Arabidopsis thaliana: one gene and its partner. The protein of the gene in region 1 interacts with the protein of each later gene in a pairwise test. Each region holds a gene or a part of one and is shown in the gene's direction. Other genes may lie near its edges.

Region 1 (7,515 bases):
AAAAAGTATTTAATAAAATATATATATTATTAAAATTGAGGTAGCCGGTGATCGGTGGATTTGAAGTACATATCGCATGCATGTTCCACGCGCAGCTTGTCTCTATATATGTTCCACGCACATGCAATTCATTACTGCAAATTTTTTTATTTTTTTCTCATTGAATTATATTTGATATTAGAATTGGAAAAGATATAATACATATGAAAATAAAGAGTTTAGACTTTAAAGATACACAAAGCTCGACCCATGAAGAAGGGTTTTTTTCGAGAACATTGCAAAAACCAAACTAATCTTATCTCGAGACTAAACAAAGCTCTCGAAGTTCACCACAAGGACTTCCCGCACAACAAACTGAGAAGACGGGCTTCAACACTTATGGCAATAACAAGATAGTGGAACTTGGTCTTCTCCGTAAATGATGCTTCTTTTTCAAAGAGTACCTAACCCGGATGAACCGTAGGATAATCGAGAACCACTTAAACCTTTCAACACCACAACGATCAATTAATTAAGCTAATCGTTGCTTAATACAACAAAAGAAGAACTGATATGTAATCCAAGAGCTCAACCCCAAACTAACAAAGTCTAACTTAGTCGGGGAAGAGAAGCTAAGCCCAAAAAAGGGAGACAATAGCCCAAAAGAGGGAGACAAATTAACCTAAGCCGCTGATGTTACCAGATCTCATGAATACAAACTGATCAGAGCAACAAGTTTCACAAAAGCAGAAGACATGAGAGACAATGGAGATACCGAGTTATCGAGAAGTCGATCCGATGTTGCACAGATTCAGCCATGGGAGAAGAGAAACAAGCCGTCAAGAGAAGAAGCAAAAGTCTTGAAAGTCCACCGGCAAAGATGAAGCGTGACTGCACTCCATGACCAGCGAACAAGAACAGTGACCTAAGAACACCCTCGACCATCAGATCCCACAGATCCAAGTACCAAAACCCAATCTCACTAGATCTGCTTCACAACACTCACCACTCCAAATTGTAAAGAGCCTCTATGCTTCTAAAACCAAAGAAGACATCTATGAAAAGAAAAACTAAACAGGAAACAAGAAAGGTGACCGACGCCGGCGTTGTAGGAGCCGCCACGCGCCGTCACGAGCACAACGACCACTTGGAGTTAAAGCAGGGAGGCGAGAGAGAAAAAATGTATTAGGGTGAACCGACCCAAAACATCAATGAATTCATTACTGCAAATTTATTATTTGAAAACCGGTACTTTTTAAAAAATTACTGATATTTTTTTGTTTATGATATGATTCAGAAAAAGGTCACTTGATTTATTTGATTTTTATTGAGTGAGAGATGTTTATTATATAGACAATCAACATATTTCAAAAAAGAAAAAAAAATTAAACCTTAAATCATCAATAATCATAACATGGCATATAGTGATATAGATTATAGAATGGGTTTGTCATTCAATAATAGTACTATTATTCAAGCATCGGTAAGTTAATATATGATGTTTGTTTTTTTGTGTAACTTTTTGGTTCCGTTAATGACTCCACATGTTTTAGAACTACACGGCGCTTGATCTGTTATCACTTATCATCATCAGCAGATAAACAGTTTTGATAAATATAACTACAGAAAAGGCAAAATATCGTACGGACAAAGAATTCAATAATAATAAACAGTACTGTACACAGACACCAATACATCTAAACACGCGTCCCACGCGCCAGAGGACCAAAAAGAGAGAGAAAAAAAAAGTCAAAGCCAGCGTTTTAAGCTTTACTTACCTCTAAAACGACACCAACCTTTTTTCATCTCTCTCTCTCCCACGAGACTTTATTTTTTTTCCCTCTTCTCTTCTCTTCTCTCTCTCTCGTTCATTGTACCTTCCTCCATTTTTTCTCCATCTTTCCTCTCTAATCTTTTTATCTTCTTTTTCTTCTTCCCTCCTTTTAACGATTCCGTGGAGTCTGGAATATGATCTTGTGGAAATCTCTCAGTTGTTTCTCGTTCGTCTTCGGGTTGTTGTTGTACAGTGCTAGTTTCGTTTGTGCTGGAGACATAGTTCACCACGACGATTCGCTTCCGCAGAGACCTGGTTGCAACAACAATTTCGTTCTGGTTTGATTTTTGATCTATTTCACTTTGATCTGTCGTTCTTACTCTTTCTCTTATCTCCTTGTCCCTCTTGTCTATCTCTTGGTGACTTTCAGGAATTTGGAATTTAGTTTAGGCTTTGGATTGTAATACTAGGGTTTAGTGGAATGAGTCTGTTGATTGCTTTCTCACTGTCCTCCTCCTTCTATATCTGTTGTTGCCAGCAGATTGAGAAATTGGGTTTTTACAGACTCTAGAGGAACTTTTGGATTCCAGATTTGATGTCATTCAGAATAGAGGGAGAGTAGGTATAGCCATGAGTTACCTAACTAAACCCTCGTTTTAGTCGCATGGACTTTCAATTTGTTGCAAGCTTCTTGTTAGCTATAATAAGGAGTCATTTGGTGTGAGTGAAGAAATTGGGATATAGATCTGGTTTGCGTTTAGGACCCTGCCATGTCATCTTCCAACATATATAACTACAACATATAATTTCATGGACAGGTGAAAGTCCCAACTCGAGTCAATGGGTCGGAGTACACGGAGTATGTTGGTGTTGGTGCTAGGTTTGGCCCAACCTTGGAATCTAAGGAGAAACATGCTACCCTCATCAAACTTGCTATTGCTGACCCTCCTGATTGTTGCAGCACTCCCAAAAATAAGGTAAAGTTTCCTTTTTGGCTTGTCTCTCTTGTACTCATCTTTCCTTCTTGTGTAATTCCAGTTTCATTATCTTTTGGTAGCTTACAGGAGAGGTCATTCTTGTTCATCGTGGTAAATGCAGTTTTACCACCAAAACTAAGGTTGCTGAAGCAGCTGGTGCCTCTGCCATCCTTATCATAAACAACAGTACAGGTAATTCACTAAAGGCTTTTTTCTGTATATATTCCTCCTCTTGTACTAGTTCCAAGTGATTATTTATTTCCCAATTCTAGTTAAATCCCTCTTGAGTTTTGCAAGGTTGAATGTTGCTTTGCAGATCTTTTCAAGATGGTCTGCGAGAAGGGTGAAAACGTTTTAGATATTACTATTCCTGTTGTTATGCTACCTGTTGATGCTGGTAGAAGTCTGGAGAACATAGTCAAAAGTAACGCTATAGGTAATTCTTCGTATAAATCAAACTGTACTTCCGCATAGATTGCTCTTCTTGTATTTTAGCATATCTTATCATAGTTTGGCATCTCTGTGCTCTCTCTTTTTCTTTGAGTTGGTGTTGACTATATTTGTTCAGTTACTCTGCAGCTCTACTCGCCGAAACGTCCAGCAGTTGATGTGGCTGAGGTCTTTCTTTGGCTTATGGCTGTCGGTACCATTTTATGTGCTTCTTATTGGTCTGCGTGGACCGTCAGGGAAGAAGCTATTGAGCAAGACAAGCTGCTAAAGGTGATTGCTGGCTCAAAATTTCGTACAATTTTATATTCTGGACATCCACCATGTTCGAACCTTTTGACAGCCAAGGAAAAGTGCCCTCATTCGTTTGTTATCTATCTTAAACTGCAGGACGGATCAGATGAACTTTTGCAGTTATCAACCACCAGCTCTAGAGGTGTTGTTGAGGTCACCGTGATATCAGCAATTTTGTTTGTAGTGGTGGCTTCTTGTTTCCTGATCATGCTCTACAAGCTTATGTCATTCTGGTTTATAGAGGTGTTGGTGGTACTCTTTTGCATAGGTGGCGTAGAGGTAGAACGTTTATCTTGTGACCAATTGAAATCATAGCAATACCTTATTGAACCATCCTGTACTGATGTTGAAAGTTTTGTTGGTGCTATCAGGGGCTGCAAACTTGTTTGGTCTCTCTACTCTCATGGTATGTATAGTTCTTCTCTCATTAACATTTTCTTGTAAGGAGCTTGTTTCACCTCTTTTTGCTTTTCAAAGAGCAGTAGAGAGGAACATTAAGATGGAAACAGCCCTTTAATACTAGAAGAAACACTCGTGATCCCAAGATTTTTTCATTATTTATTCTCGTGCATTGATCTCTTTTCAAACTTTCTACGTTCTGCATTGTCTTGATTTCAGGTCTTGTTTTACCATGAAATAATGAATCAGATAGAAACCATGAGTTGTTTCTTTTTGTTGACTATGAAATGCTAGGGTATTCAAGCTTCTTCACTCTTTGAGAAGTAAAAAAGAAAATCTGATACTGACGTTAAATTTGTTATAGTTTCAGATGGTTCCGCCGCTTTGGAGAATCATATGTCAAAGTTCCTTTCCTGGGTGCTGTCTCATACTTGACTCTGGCTATTTGTCCCTTTTGCATAGCATTTGCTGTATTTTGGGCGGTTAAACGTCAATACTCTTATGCTTGGATAGGGCAAGATATACTTGTAAGCGCGGGTTTCCATCTCTCTCTCTTAACTGACCTTTCTTGAATCCATGTCTTTCTACAAGTATACCTACTGTTAAATTTCCATACAAGGCTACCATGTACATACCTTCATGCATATGTATAAGTAATTGGTGTTAGGTTGACCTATCTGTAGTCTTAACAAATAACACAAGTTAACAGCTTACTTTTGGTTTTTCTTGCTGACAGGGAATCTCACTGATAATCACGGTTCTTCAAATTGTCCGCGTACCAAATCTTAAGGTATTACCAATTCCTTATCAAATGTCACATGGGATTGCCGTTACAATCATGAGGGCACTAAATATCACATGTTGACAAACACCTTTAGCCATCTCGTACCAGCTTTGTTTTGAACCATCACTTTTCCTGTGTATATATTCTGAATTTGTGCTCTAACATGTTGAAAATTCAACTGTCTAAACCAATCAGTTGAAGACTGAAAATTTGATTGCTGCTGGTAGACGGATACAATCATTTCTGCCAATGTATAGAAGACCAATCTCTATAATAACAATATTAGTTATGATGACTCATTGAACTCTTACGTAAACAGGTCGGGTTTGTTCTTCTCAGCTGTGCCTTCATGTATGACATCTTCTGGGTTTTTGTTTCAAAATGGTGGTTCCGTGAAAGCGTGATGATTGTGGTAAGTTTTTCTTTTTTGCTCCAGACCATCATGCAAGAAGACTTTGTTAGATATTCCAACTACACATACTTATCTGTCTGCTCCACACTGATATTATCGGAGAATTGTACGTCTTTTCCCATTTTCCCACATATAGGTAGCCCGTGGTGACAGAAGCGGAGAGGACGGAATTCCAATGCTACTAAAGATCCCACGAATGTTTGATCCTTGGGGTGGCTACAGCATAATTGGATTTGGTGACATTATCTTACCAGGACTGCTTGTAACTTTCGCACTGAGGTTTGCACTGTTACAATCTCCTCTTGCGCTCTCTCACATTATTACTATATCAAGATCTCAACTAAACTGAGTTATTAGAAGCATACAAAAGTATGAAATGATGCGCAAATGCGGATATCAATGTAAATCAGGACAACAAACCAATAGAGGTGCTCAGCGAAAACAACAAAATGTGAAAAGGGTTTATCAGAAACATTGGGGTCATGATATACCTTTATATCCGCATTTGCGCATCATCTCTGACAGATTTTTTATAAAACAAAATCGCTTGAACCTGGCAAAAAAATCTTATAATCCGACATTCTGGTTCAATTTAACCTTATGTCCTTATGCTTTGTGTCTGTTTAATGTGGTTTGCAATTTTTTGAAGAACTTGTAGATAGAAATATACATTACATAGTCTAGTAAATAGATGAGTGTGAATGAATCAAATGTCTTCAGAGAAATCAGGGTAAGGTTGCACTAGGTAGACAAATGGAGACAAGATATTGTTTAGAAAAAGAATTGATAACTGTAGGGATGTGTTTTCAGGTGATCCATCTTATCATTTTCAGTAATAAAAAGGAAACCTATTATGATAAGTACCTTAATCTAATGTTAAATCCGATCAAAATCGTGCACCGTTCTGCAGGTACGACTGGCTGGCGAACAAGAGGCTAAAGTCAGGGTACTTCCTTGGGACAATGTCTGCTTATGGTCTAGGTATGATCCCTCACGTAGGGGAGAAACGAATAAGAAATCTAGTAAAGGTTTTTTAATATGATTCTTGACAATCACAGGTCTTCTCATAACATACATAGCTCTAAACTTGATGGACGGACATGGGCAACCGGCTCTGCTTTACATCGTCCCATTCATACTAGGTAAGAACACTGAACCCACAACAGATGTTTTGGAACCAAAAGCTATGTATGTTTTGAAACTAAGAATGGTTTGTGGTGCAATGTGTCAGGTACTTTGTTCGTGTTGGGTCACAAGAGAGGTGACTTGAAGACGCTGTGGACAACAGGGGAACCCGACAGGCCATGCCCTCACGTTCGTCTTCAACCTCAATCGTCTTAAAACAACCTGCTATGTATCAGATGGGAACAGATAAAAATCAGATGATCCTCTAGTTTTTTTTTATTGTTAATACAACACACCCCTTCTTAGGTCAATATATATGTCTCTGTACGCTTTCACACAACTAGACAGGAGAGCCCATACCACATTTGCCTTAAATAACTCTTTTAACCTCTCTTGCTAGTTTCTCTCTATTATTAGACATGAAACCATGAATAGACTTGGCTTCTTTTCCTGAGTCATGATGATCAGATTTTCTTCTATAACATACATATGTCCAACTAGTATTTTACAGATTACTAATGTAAAAGGGTCACAAGTTTTTTAGAGGAATTATATATAGTAGCAACTAAAATTTTTCATTAATATGACTGATAGTAATAAAAACTGATGCTAACACTTCTAATATAAAGTTGATGTTGATAAAAGTCTAGCTTAACTGAAAAGAAAAGAAAAAAAAACGAGTCTTGAAAATAAATCAGAAGTTGTTGTTGTTGGTTTGTTATGGGCCGATACCGGTGACCCATTAGAGCACGTTGGACCTATAGTTAAAATGCTGGAAAAGATCTTAAAAAAATTCTAGTGATATTTCAAAATCCGATATTCACCTAAACTTTCGCTTTAAACATTTGCTTTTCCGAATTTTTTTGATAATAAATATTGCTCCACTAAAAATATAATCTTAAATTATATCGATATCACAAGTAAAGTAATCATCAAGTCAAGTTCAGAGTCTCTCAGATCATCGTACCGAATCTATAGAGGAAGCAGCCGATCTCGCTATCAGTCGGTAATATACACTATCATTCTACTTTCCTAATTTCTCTTCTTCTTTTTGTTTTCTTTGAGAATTGCATGACAAACCCTTGGAAAAGGGTTGTTTTAAAATCATCATGAAATTTGAGAATATGATCGGTGGCTTGATTGAATTTTCGTTTTGTGTGAGTGGTCTTTCTGTTTGAGTTTTAAAATTTCGGAGAGTGGCGTTTTAAGATTCGATACCATATCCTTGGATAACTATTAGCCAGAACAATACTTTCAAATTTTAAAGCTTTGATTAGAGTTTTAAAGCTTAGGGGAGGATCACAAATTTACAATATTGATCTTA
Region 2 (4,123 bases), on another chromosome or scaffold:
AACTAAACTCACATGTCAAAAGTTGAAACTTATACCACCTTGATATCCACGTCATCAATTCTTAATACACTTTTGTATTTTGACCCAAATTTACGGGGTTACACGTTATGTAATTATGATATATGCATGACATACACGTTATGATATATGCATGACATCGCTAAAATAGCATAATGTTAATTAGTTATCTAAAACTAAAGACCTGTGTGTGGATATTATCTTCCAACATTAACAAAAAAATCCCGAAAAGGAGAAGAACAAAAGCTTTTAAAAAAACTTTGATCACCCCGTTCTATACCAATTGATGTATCTTTAATGGAAGAGAACCATTATAAATAGAAACGAATTAACACCAAATGCACCGTGACACGAAAGATATTGAGTGTAAGAAACCCCAAATTCCTTGTTATATTCGCTTAGAATTATTTTTACAGCACCATGTACATGTGATCACAAGATATCAATTAAAGTTAGCTAATTAACTTTATTTTTCATTTTTTGGGCTACTAGTTTGCTAATTAACTTTTTACCGAGAAAAAACTATCAGTAGAAAGCCAAAAAATTCAATGAATAAGAAAAAAAAAAAAAAAGCCTAAACTTACATACATATATGATATATCTACGATAAATTTGCTGATAAACGATCTGACTTCTAACTAAGATTCCTGTTTTACCTATTTTAAAAAAAAATCGAGAACCATGAATCAAAGCTCAACTATGTTAATCATGATTGAAATCACGTACGTTCTCGAATGCTTAAATAAATATGTTAATCAATAAACCGCCATAAATTGGTTAAATATAAATCTACTTGCAAGAAAATTGTAATTGAACTTTATTTTCAATTGGTAAAATGTTCCTTTTTCACGTACACAAAAAAGTGTTTGAAGAGAAGCGTGTTTGTGTTATACGGACTTACGAAAATCTTGTGTTCCCATTTCTCAACCACAAAAGCCTAATTTCTTGGTACCTCTGATTGTATACTATCGTTTCACAATTACAGTTTCATCTGATTTCAATCAAAAATTACAGTCTCATATGGATCAAATAGAAAAATAACGAGAGTCTGCATCATCAACTCGTGTTTGTTGTTTGTCCCTCTCTCTGATCTTTAACGGCTTTTGACGAAAGAAAAATATCCCGCCTAACTCAACCAATAGACACAAGACATGTGTCGGCTTGTGGTAGTTCTATCCGTATGAAAAACGCTTTCCATGTTACCATCCAGTGAACTCATCCCATCATTCACTTACACGTGTTTTTTCTTCTTGACGACCAAAAAAAAACAATTTGGCACATACCCATTAAAAAAAAAATACTTCTTATTTTTCATAATACTTTTCGTAGATTGTCACTGTTATGTAACTCATTCATAGAAATTTACCGCGTAAATTGCATGAAAAATCACTAGTCTTAAGAATCACCTAATTTGTTTTTCTGAACTTACAAATATTCGCAAATTACTTTCAGTTAACTCCCTAATACTTGGGAAGACCATTGACAATACAAAAAAAAAATCATAAGAGGAGGTACAGTCACACACACAATATTACAACATTACTAATATAAATAATCAACTTTATGGTATAGGTTCAAAGAACCAAAGGGATCGCATAAATCACGACGCTCTAATTGATCCACGTGTCATGATAAACATAAAGTGGGACCCGTATTGAGGCTGCACGTTAACGAAGATTGGGCGGCGGTGTAATATTATATTATATATATACATACACGAGTAGCAGAGCTTCGAAATCTTTAATCTCAGAATACAAAAAAGAAAATCAAAGAAGATAGTTTTGTGATTGTTTTCTATAAAAAGTGCAGATATTTTCTTTGTCCTAGAGAAAGAGGTGATAGGAAAAATGGGTCTCCAAGAGCTTGACCCGTTAGCCCAATTGAGCTTACCGCCGGGTTTTCGGTTTTATCCGACTGACGAAGAGCTGATGGTTGAATATCTCTGTAGAAAAGCCGCCGGTCACGACTTCTCTCTCCAGCTCATAGCTGAAATCGATCTCTACAAGTTTGATCCATGGGTTTTACCAAGTACGTATAACCTAATAACCTTAACCGTGTTTGGTTTCTTTGTAGCTAGTTATGTTTTTTTCTCTTCTAACTTGTCTTTTTGGTTCTTTGTAGGTAAGGCGTTATTCGGTGAAAAAGAATGGTATTTTTTCAGCCCGAGGGATAGGAAGTATCCAAACGGGTCAAGACCTAATCGGGTTGCCGGGTCGGGTTATTGGAAAGCCACCGGTACGGATAAAGTTATCTCGACGGAGGGAAGAAGAGTTGGTATCAAGAAAGCTTTGGTGTTTTACATTGGAAAAGCTCCAAAAGGAACCAAAACCAATTGGATTATGCATGAGTACCGTCTCATCGAACCCTCTCGTCGAAATGGAAGCACCAAGGTATAAATTTAGTTAAATACATGATGTATCCAAAAAGATAAGTATATAGTAATTGTAATTATACTGTTCAACGAATAACATATTTTAAACTGTTTTTATGTTCAGCTTGATGATTGGGTTTTATGTCGAATATACAAAAAGCAAACAAGCGCACAAAAACAAGCTTACAATAATCTAATGACGAGTGGTCGTGAATACAGCAACAATGGTTCGTCGACATCTTCTTCGTCTCATCAATACGACGACGTTCTCGAGTCGTTGCATGAGATTGACAACAGAAGTTTGGGGTTTGCCGCCGGTTCATCAAACGCGCTGCCTCATAGTCATAGACCGGTTTTAACCAATCATAAAACCGGGTTTCAGGGTTTAGCCAGGGAGCCAAGTTTTGATTGGGCGAATTTGATTGGACAGAACTCGGTCCCGGAACTCGGACTGAGTCATAACGTTCCGAGTATTCGTTACGGTGACGGTGGAACGCAGCAACAAACTGAGGGGATTCCTCGGTTTAATAATAACTCGGACGTCTCGGCTAATCAGGGTTTTAGTGTTGACCCGGTTAACGGATTTGGGTACTCGGGTCAACAATCTAGTGGGTTCGGGTTTATTTGATTGTGTAATGGTAACGTAATAAGAAAAACATATTTTTATTTTTTGTCCGTGTCAGATTAGTTAATTAATATAGCGTAGAATTCGAACTCTAGGGTTAGATTTAGGTTCTACGACTTGTATTGTATATTCGTCGTCATTTGTCCTGACATTTACATTTTTGTAAACTTTTATAGCTGGAACTTTTGTATTGATCAATTATTTATTAGAAAAACAGATATTGCATTGGATCTATAAGTTTTGTACTTGCTATTGCTAACGATAAACGATAGAAATGTGAAAGTTTCCTTATCATTCATGACACATTTTTGTGTCAACATCATGTAGTATTATCATTAACAACGAATCAGCGATTCATAATTTATTATATTAATCGCCATAATATATCGATAATCTAGGAACCATAAAGCGAATATGACTTTGCTCGCTATCGCTCATCGTTTAATATTAGTACCAGCTAAAACGAACAATAGATTTGTCATCATCTTTCGCTGATGACGGTAACCATATCATAGCGAACATGACCAAAAATGTATGTTTATCTGAGATGATTTCTAGCCTATAGCACTAGTATACTTTTGTAAAATATAAAAATACTATTTATATAAACACATGTGGCATAAAGAAATTTCGCACGCGATAGTTGTGTATATATTCATTTATGTGCAATGGCATTTGCAAGCCGTAAGGTTTGAAATAGTAATATTGTACAGCTGTTTAAAGAACGTTCAAAATTTGTTAGAGAAATTGATATATATATATTTAAAAGGATATGGATAAAGATGTTATATTGTTTAATGGGAAAAGGATAGTGATGGTATTAGATGGCCAAATCTTAAAGACCAATTGGGGTTTGAAGATAAGAACAGAGAACGGACCGTTTGGGGTTTCCTGAAATTGCACGTGTGAGTCAGCATGGGCTGCTTGTTTGACTAGTTTAGAATCATTTCTTTCCTAAAATAGTAACAATTCACACCGTACAAGTTTTAAACACATCTACGCTTTTTGTTCGTATAAGTAGATTTTCATAATCAAAATTTAAATAGATTTTATCTGATTAACTAATTAGATAAATGTTGTGAAAAATAATTTTTACACCGAAATTAGCT

Evidence for each region.
Region 2: the proteins of SPPL4 (region 1) and NAC3 interact in a two-hybrid assay, tested with the Arabidopsis thaliana proteins (one large-scale study listed by BioGRID).

What each region holds. Positions count from the first base shown.
Region 1 is NC_003070.9:232,080-239,594, reverse strand, and holds SPPL4 (SIGNAL PEPTIDE PEPTIDASE-LIKE 4), read left to right. Parts: upstream 1-1,689; 5' UTR 1,690-1,947; coding exon 1,948-2,091; exon of another isoform or gene 2,092-2,571; coding exon 2,572-2,730; exon of another isoform or gene 2,731-2,810; coding exon 2,811-2,922; intron 2,923-3,046; coding exon 3,047-3,166; intron 3,167-3,298; coding exon 3,299-3,450; intron 3,451-3,567; coding exon 3,568-3,750; intron 3,751-3,842; coding exon 3,843-3,877; intron 3,878-4,234; coding exon 4,235-4,397; intron 4,398-4,606; coding exon 4,607-4,660; intron 4,661-4,973; coding exon 4,974-5,066; intron 5,067-5,202; coding exon 5,203-5,345; intron 5,346-5,435; exon of another isoform or gene 5,436-5,589; intron 5,590-5,976; coding exon 5,977-6,047; intron 6,048-6,124; coding exon 6,125-6,208; intron 6,209-6,297; coding exon 6,298-6,407; 3' UTR 6,408-6,755; downstream 6,756-7,515.
Region 2 is NC_003074.8:5,232,866-5,236,988, forward strand, and holds NAC3 (NAC domain containing protein 3), read left to right. Parts: upstream 1-1,591; 5' UTR 1,592-1,865; coding exon 1,866-2,046; intron 2,047-2,139; coding exon 2,140-2,408; intron 2,409-2,513; coding exon 2,514-3,017; 3' UTR 3,018-3,331; downstream 3,332-4,123. UniProt on the Arabidopsis thaliana protein: Transcription factors that bind specifically to the 5'-CATGTG-3' motif.